Linked DNA regions of Danio rerio. The main gene of each other region encodes a partner of the protein of the gene in region 2 in a complex. Links are inferred from orthologs where the notes say so. Each region holds a gene or a part of one and is shown on either strand. Other genes may lie near its edges.

What was found. The genes of interacting proteins can lie anywhere in the genome.
Region 1: the proteins of gabbr2 (region 2) and kctd16b are in contact, whole or in part, in a crystal structure (PDB 6M8R), measured with the Homo sapiens proteins. The link is inferred for Danio rerio from reciprocal best matches to the Homo sapiens genes GABBR2 and KCTD16. Residues at the interface, in NP_005449.5 of Homo sapiens: Ile882, Asn883, Ile888, Gln889, Arg891, Leu892, Ser893, Leu894, Gln895, Leu896, Pro897, Ile898, Leu899; in NP_001357415.1 of Homo sapiens: Asn30, Gly32, Gly33, Gln34, Val35, Tyr36, Asp64, Leu65, Ala66, Lys67, Asp68, Ser69, Arg72, Phe74, Gly79, Phe80, Arg83.

Annotation. Positions count from the first base shown.
Region 1 is NC_133196.1:44,213,649-44,217,888, forward strand, and holds the start of kctd16b (BTB/POZ domain-containing protein KCTD16b), read left to right. Parts: upstream 1-1,427; 5' UTR 1,428-1,496; coding exon 1,497-2,301; intron 2,302-3,566; exon of another isoform or gene 3,567-3,790; intron 3,791-4,240. UniProt on the Homo sapiens protein: Auxiliary subunit of GABA-B receptors that determine the pharmacology and kinetics of the receptor response. Increases agonist potency and markedly alter the G-protein signaling of the receptors by accelerating onset and promoting desensitization.
Region 2 is NC_133194.1:36,756,645-36,760,768, forward strand, and holds the start of gabbr2 (gamma-aminobutyric acid type B receptor subunit 2 precursor), read left to right. Parts: upstream 1-1,314; coding exon 1,315-1,626; intron 1,627-4,124. UniProt on the Homo sapiens protein: Component of a heterodimeric G-protein coupled receptor for GABA, formed by GABBR1 and GABBR2. Within the heterodimeric GABA receptor, only GABBR1 seems to bind agonists, while GABBR2 mediates coupling to G proteins.

The DNA.
Region 1 (4,240 bases), on a different chromosome or scaffold from region 2:
GAAAAAGGATAGCTCAAAGGATAGCTTAAAGGAGCTAATAATTTTGTCTTCAAAATGGTGTTTAAAAAAATTAAAAACTGCTTTTATTTTAGCTAAAATAAAACACATAAGACTTTCACCAGAAGAAAAAACATTATCAGACATACTGTGAAAATTTCCTTGCTCTGTTAAACATAATTTGGGGAATATTTAAAAAAGCAAAAAAACAATAAAAAATTCAAAGGGGGGCTATTAATTCTGACTTCACCTAATATATACACATTTTATAAAAGCGTGTATTTAATATTGCAAAAGAAAAAAAAGAAACGTGTAGATGTGTGCTGAGACATAAACAAACATTATAGGAAACAGTAGATTACTTAAACATGAAAGTAGACGCTATATTTAAGGTGTTCTTTGTTTTTAAAATAGCGACCATTTGTTATTTGACGGCCGACACTTCTTTGACTTAAACAGACAAACACATTTAGAGCATTATAACATGAATACAATAATAGAAACATAATAAAACTGTATGCATACATCGCTTATGAATTTCATTAATAGTGTGTAATGTTGATGCTTTAAAGAACTTTGATGGAACCTTGTTTTCACTGTCCATGGTTCTGAAATCAGCGGATTACTCCACTCGACACAACCTGGTAGTACCCTACTTTTTTTGTTATTTGAAGCTGGAATGCACGAAAGGATCTGATGTTGTCTGCATAAACTAGCTAACAAAGCTGACTGCCTATATCAAACAATGGTGTGAATACCCGCAACACCACGGTATTGTGTGCATACGTCTTTAAGATGATGTAATTTTTGATAACCCATTATGTTTCTTTTCCTCCTCCCGCCGAGGCAACAACAGCTGAGGCAGTTATTTTCTCGTGCCACAGCCCTCGATCGCGAGCGCACAGAGTATGATGCTGCATCATCTTTCACCATAAACCCCACCAACGCACAACACCTGGATTATTCCAGAGGATCACACACTCAATTTTTTTCTTAACCGCTTGGATTATTGATCAACCCTATTGTGCTGAAACTGTCGTCAGATTTTATCTTTTGAAACTATGTAATCTGTTCTCTTTGGTCGGCAAAAGTTGGATTCAGATCGTTGCTTAATTTGGAATAAACTTTGTTTCTCCTTGAAAGATTAAATGGTTTTATTATATGATGTTTTTAAATGCTTATGCAAATGCACTAGTTTTTTTTTTTCAGGCAAGGAAGCACACCCCAGTGTTTCGCTGTGTGCCCTGCTGAGCTACCAATTCTTCGACTCTAGGATGTAGGTGTGCAGTTCCTCGGATATTTTGCTCTTTCTCTTTTTTTGAGCCCTGTGGAGAATATGTGCATTTAAAAATATGTGCAATTATCGGTTCAGATTTGAAATGTGATTTCTTTTGCAATTTAATGTGCATAAAAATCGACGTTTCCTAAAACACTCCCGAATCTGTGGATCATTGGAAAAGAGCAGAACTTTGTTGTTATTTGCACCCATCACTGAAACGATGGCGTTGAGTGGAAATTCTAAACCTAAAGACAGCTCTTTTCCAGATGTTATTGAATTAAACGTGGGGGGACAAGTCTATTATACACGTTATACTACGTTAATCAATACCCCTGGCTCTCTTTTGGGAAAAATATTCTCTCCCAAAAATAATGCATCGAATGATCTTGCCAGGGACCCTAAAGGTCGTTATTTCATCGACCGGGATGGTTTTTTGTTCAGATACGTGTTAGACTACCTCAGGGATAAACAGGTTGTTCTTCCTGACCACTTTCCAGAGAAAGGAAGGCTGAGGAAAGAAGCGGAATACTTTCAATTGCCTGACTTGGTTAAACTCTTAACCCCTGACGACCTAAAACCTAGTTCCGATGAATATATCCACAGTGATTACGAGGACGGGTCTCAAGGAAGCGATCAGCGAATGTGTCCTCCGCCGTCACTCATTCTCGCCGACAGAAAAAGCGGATTCTTAACCGTCGGATATCGCGGGTCTTGTACAATGGGTAGGGAAAATCGAACCGATGCCAAATTCCGGAGGGTGCCTCGGATTATGATATGCGGCAGGATTGCCCTGGCCAAAGAAGTTTTTGGCGAGACCCTAAACGAAAGCAGGGACCCTGACAGGACAGCTGATAAGTACACATCCCGCTTTTACCTAAAGTTCAAGCACCTTGAGCGCTCTTTCGACATGCTCTCGGAGTGTGGTTTTCAGATGGTCGCATGTAACTCGTCTGTGACAGCCTCAATTATCAACCAGCATACAGACGACAAGATATGGTCAAGTTACACTGAGTACGTCTTTTACCGTAAGTTTCTCCACAGATGTTTTGTCTATTGTTTTGAAATTACTTGTTCCATCTGAGGTTGTTTTAAAAATACCACTAGACGGCGCGCCTTTTTTGTATTGTTTTTTTCTCCGTTTTTTCACTAAAGGTCTCATATGGACAAAAAACATACTGCCAGTTTAGCACCTGTTCTTTATTTAAATTTGAATTTATTTGTTTAATAGGGACAATGCTCAGGAAGCAGTGATTAACAGGGACAATGTTTAGGACAGCAGTGATGTGTGGACTGAATTGGATGAAAATACAATGATTTACATTAAAGTTATTAAATATTTTTCATACCAAAACTTCATAAAAATTATTAATATATATATTTTTTTTTAACAGAAGTTTTTTAGTATAACCATCAGGACAGTGTTGATGTGTGGACTGAATTTGGTGAAAATACAGTGATTTACAGTAAAGTTATTTAATATTTTATTAATAAGGCATAAAAACTATGCAGTATAGTTTTTAACTCTTCGATACACAAGCTATAAAAACCCCTTCTAATGCACTAAATGGGTCTGAAATAACCCGTATTCATTTCCTATGTTATTTTCTCTTTTCCCTGGGCATTTTTTGGTTTCATCTTTTAAAAGCAATATTTATTTCAGCATTATATATTCATTTATACATGAATTTAATTATCCATCAATATTCAAAATATTTTTTTTCATTCACCATAAATTATTGATTTTCTTAGGTTTTGTATTACAACATCAATTTTACACACATGGGTCAAAAATGACCCACCTGTGAAAACATGAAAAAACAATAAATAAGTAAAATACAATACAGGGCGACGCAGTGGCGCAGTAGATAGTGCTGTCGCCTCACAGCAAAAAGGCAGCTGGTTCGAGCCTCAGCTGGGTCAGTTGGCGTTTCCGTGTGGAGTTTGCATGTTCTCCCTGCATTCGCGTGGGTTTCCTCCGGGTGCTCCGGTTTCCCTCACAGTTCAATGACATGTGGTACAGGTGACTTGGGTAAGCTAAATTGTCCGTTGTGTATGAGTGTGTTTGGATGTTTCCCAGAGATGGGTTGCAGCTGGTAGGGCATGCGCTGTGTAAAAATGTACTGGATAAGTTGGCGGTTCATTCTGCTGTGGTGACCCCACATATGTAAAGGGACTAAGCCGGAAAAAAATGAATGAATGATTGAATGAATGTTATCACTGTAGTGTTACTGTAATGCATATGCCTTAATAAAAGAATAATGTTTTAGCAGTTATTCAGACAAACACATTTAAGATCTGGAATATGTTTATTTAACATTTTTCCACACATTTCAATCACTGATAAATAATAACAAGCTGAAATTTTTATCATTTATTATGACTGTGATTGAGATTGTATGGATGTTTCCCCAGTGTTGGGTTGCAGCTGGAAGGGCATCCGCTGCGTAAAACATATGCTGGATGAGTTGGCGGTTCATTCCGCTATGGCGACCCCAGAATAATAAATGGACTAAGCTGAAAAGAAAATGAAGGAATGATTGAATGAATGTTATCAATATAAGAACAAAACACTGACAAAATAAAATTACACAGGAACAGTGCCATCTCAGTGCTTATGTTTATCACAAATGACAACTGCACGTTTACGCTTGCACACAGGCCTCTTGCACATAGAACACCAGCTATTGACTTTTCTGCCTTCGGCAGCTGGGCAGAACTTGCACCTCTTTATCTTCGATTGTCCTGTCTGATGTCCTCTCCAGATTGACCTCGTGGCACATAGTCTAGATCATCAGCATCAGATATTTCAGACTCTGAATCAGAACTAAGAATCCCCTTATGTTTTTCATCCTGCAGCACCTCTACAGGCATTTCAGCCGTAAATATAGAATGACTGGGACAAGCTATACTAACACTCTGGATAAAAGAAATCCAAAGCACAAGAATATTCACATCAAGTAAATA
Region 2 (4,124 bases):
TCTTCCGTCCACGGTATTTGTCAAATGTATGCAAAGCATAATTATATACAACAGATAGCATTACCACGTGCAAATTTAGGCGTAGTCCAGCCGAAATATGAAACGAGGTGCTGACATGAGCGAAGCCACAGAGAGTTGAGTCGCAGCTGTTTTCAGCACCTTGGACAGAAACGCTGAACCTGGCCTAATCTCGCGTGTCTTCAGTCAGAGTTAACTTCCGGTGAGTAGCACTGTTGTGAAATCACTTGCATGTTTATTTAGGCTATTATTGTAGCAAACTAAATCTAGCTAAATGTCGGAGTTAAACTTATTTTAGCTTCAAGTAAAATGATTCCCAGTAACTTGAGGAAAAAGTGAACTTTAGTCACATACAGGGCTGTAATAGCTAGGTGGCAGTGTTTATTTTGCTGTAATGTTTGTCGATGACCAAAAAAAAAAGAAAAAAGAAAAAACTATGTGCAATATGATTTGACTTATATGTAGGATGTTAACTATTTGCGCAGGGATTAATATAACAATCAATAACTAACTAGCTTATATTGCAATCGACGTCTCTGTTCTGTTTACGTGGGCTACTAAACACATCTTTTAAAACGCAGTCTATTGGGCGCAGGTGGTCAATTTACCTCACATATTACCTCTGAGGGACAGTATGTAGGTTATTGAACGCGTTACGAGTGAACAGCTGCCCTGTCGCTCTTTCACTCGGTTGTTTTTCTGGAAATGTGGGAAATGTTTTCTGCCTGTGTCGCGCGCGCTCACACACGCGCGCACGCATACATGCACAGCGCGGTCAGCGCGCGAAAGAAGTGAAGCGCATCCGCCGAAGCAGCAGCATCGGAGTCGCACGGATATCCTCACTCGGAATTGCTTTTACATACCAGGGCTCGTCCTCCAGCGTCTCTCACCTATGCGCTTTCCACACAGGGATGCAACTCCTCAAATGTTTGGAATATATTGGGCTGTTGTATTTACGTTCGCTATAGCGGAGGTTGACTCAAATCATTGCGCTTGTACCTCTGCGTAACGCACAGGCGGTGGATTGGGATGTGCGCATTATTGGAGGTGAAAGGAAGGATCGTGTCTGATCGGATTTGATAAGGAACCCTAAAAGGGAAATAAGCTTAGTTTATAAACCCTGCGACTGGACACCTTCTGGTTTTACGCACCGTTTCTGTTCTCAAGATCGAGTGCGCGAGAGCCTCTACTGCTGCATATTATGCTTTTTCTCTTTGACTGATCGCAGCATCCAAGAGGAACCTAAAGACTGCGATGCGAGGACAGTGAGAAGGTGGATCTCAGTTGTTCGGTAGCATGGCTCCGTCCCGGAGGGACTGCAGATGTGACATGATCTTTCTGTCGGGATGCCTACTCTTGTCCGTCTTGGGATTTCAACCTGCATTGGCGAAGGTTTGCAACGATTACACAAGGCACGGCCTGGACAACAACTGGTACGCGAGGGATGGTGAGAAGTTGCCTATCATGGTCCTGATGCCGATGAATGAATCAGCGCTGATGAGCAGCATCAGTCAGGGCATCGAACCGGCCGTTCAGCTGGCCATTCAGCACATCCGCGAGTCCAGGCAGTACTCCTTCTCACTCATCACCAAAATCTACGACACAGAGGTAAATGCGTGCGGGAACGTGTACGTGCTTGTTGCGGGGGTAAACTGCGGGCAGCGTGCGTCCGGCGCGCGCTCATGTGGAAAACGCGATTTTTCTGGGGTTGTTTGTGCCATGTCGAGTGATTGATGTTCATCAGAGTTTTGGAAAAGCAAGTTTGTGCTTGTTAAATGTAAAGGTTTTGCACTGTCTTGACGATCTCTGCACGTGCCAGTGGCTGTTCATGCCGTATATTGCTTAATTCTTTCTTACTTGGACACCAGTTACCTACAGAAACCATTTCTCTTGTTCATTTGCATGAAGAGATTACTGTTCATTTGTCAGTGTTTTTTTTAATCAGCACTCTGAAATTGCAGCTACACAAACCTTATAGTTCTTGACTGGCACTCGAAATATAATATTTCACGAAACACAGCTTAAACCAGACTAAATGGTTTCTGTTATTATCTGGTTCATGATGGACTTTTCGGCCTTTAAACTGGGAACCAGGGAACCACAAGGGAGGGCTGGGGGTTCATGGAACGTTTGGAAAAAGCGAATGAAAAATGTAAAATAGATGTTAAAATATTACCAAATAAGTCAACAAAACTGCATTAAATGTGCATTTTATACAAACATACATCAAAATTAAAGCAGCAAACAATGATTTAATTAATTAATAATAAAATAATTAATATAAAAATGATTAAATAAGATTCAGACAAATAGTAAAAACTGAATTATGACGAAAAGTAAATACACAAGACACAAAGTTAGATACAATTAAATAGTAAAATGTCAATAATTGAATGCAGTACTGTAGTTAGTAGAAACGTTATTTTATTATAAACTTTGTTTTATATTATAATAATGCTCTAGAAATTCTATAGTTCCCACTTACATTTTAGAATGGGGGATCCCTCATCATATATGGGGAAAAACCCAACACTAGAGTACGTAAACTTCCTTGGGGAGACCTGGGGTCCGTTCTTCGTACCTCGCTTAAATGATCTAAGATGATTTGGCAGATCCTGGATCTTTTAATCTTGATAACTGATCTCTCGCTTATTTGGTTCTTCAAACAAGTTCGCGAATCAGATTAGAATGTCTGGATGAACTGATCTGAGATCGCTGCGTTTGTTGTTAAGGACAGATCTATCCATCCTCGAAATCATGATCAGCAATGGCTTTTGGCACACGCGATTGGCTGACGGCACAGCAGCGTAATGACATCATCTGATTAATATTCAATTATCCATGTGAGCAAAATTACATCAAATTAGCAGTAAACGGTTTGTTAAATATGACACGCAATAACCTTCCACATTTGTTGTGAGCTGCAGGCTTTACACTTTCATTTGTCAAGACAAGAGTATTCATCATGTATTTCAATGCAAATCAATGTATTTAGTTCTACATTTAGAAAAGATTTTCTTTATTATAGTACAGTTTTTTAATCGGTGTAAAGAATAACTGGTTGTTTCCAAAAGCATTTTGATATTGGTAAAGGCGTCTGCAACTTTTGTGAAGCATCAAATCACTGGCATATTAACTGTCAAAACATGTTTGTGACTGCATAAATGTATTATTGCTTTTAAAAAAAGTCACATATTGTGCATTTCTATTATAAACAATTTGTACTAAAGCGATCTAAAAAGTTCATATCAATAAGTTTTCTCTTTGCACCACCAGGTGGCAGTCTTTGTACTTTCATTTTGAGGGTGCAGATTGCATACGTTTTATTAATATGTATAACTTTATTTATTTTATTAATGACTATAACTTTAAATATATAGTTAAAAACTACTATTTTCCCAAGTGTATATAATTTTTACTGTAAGAAAATATCAGAATTCAGAACATACTTTCTGTATTATCTTTGCTTGAACTGAGCCGATCTAATCCTGTTTATATGATTTGAACCTGCTCCCGATCAGGTTTGACCTAGCAGATCTGTTGCCATGACAACAACTCTCGAATCAGCTTTGAAGAACGAAACGATCCTGGATCGTGTCAAATCGTCAATATCCAAATCCAGCTAACTGAGTAATCCACGTACGAAGAACGGACCCCAGTAAAGCAGATTAGGCTGGCTTCAAAGTGTTTTATTTAAGTATAGCATTGGCTTTCTTTATAGGCTACCTGAAGATGGCAGTAATTAATGGATCTTTTCTTGATTTCAAGAAGGTTTTTGAGGATAAGTAAAGAAAATACCGCACATTTGAACAAATGGAAAATATTGTAACACAAAGCAAGCAAACTAGACATTAATTGATTAGTAAATTGGTCAATTAAACAGTTTGCTTGATTATGGTTATGATATGTACAGTAAGTGCAACCTTCAAAACAGTTATGTATGGTGGTAATGTTCAGCTTTATAACACTCACTGTCAGTGCTGGCTTAGTAAATGAAGACTTAGAGACTTAGAAAGTGGCTAATTGTTATTTGACTATGAAGGTATGATCATAATGATTAACACTGTACACAGGTATTGGTCCACAGGTAATTCTTTTAATTAGGC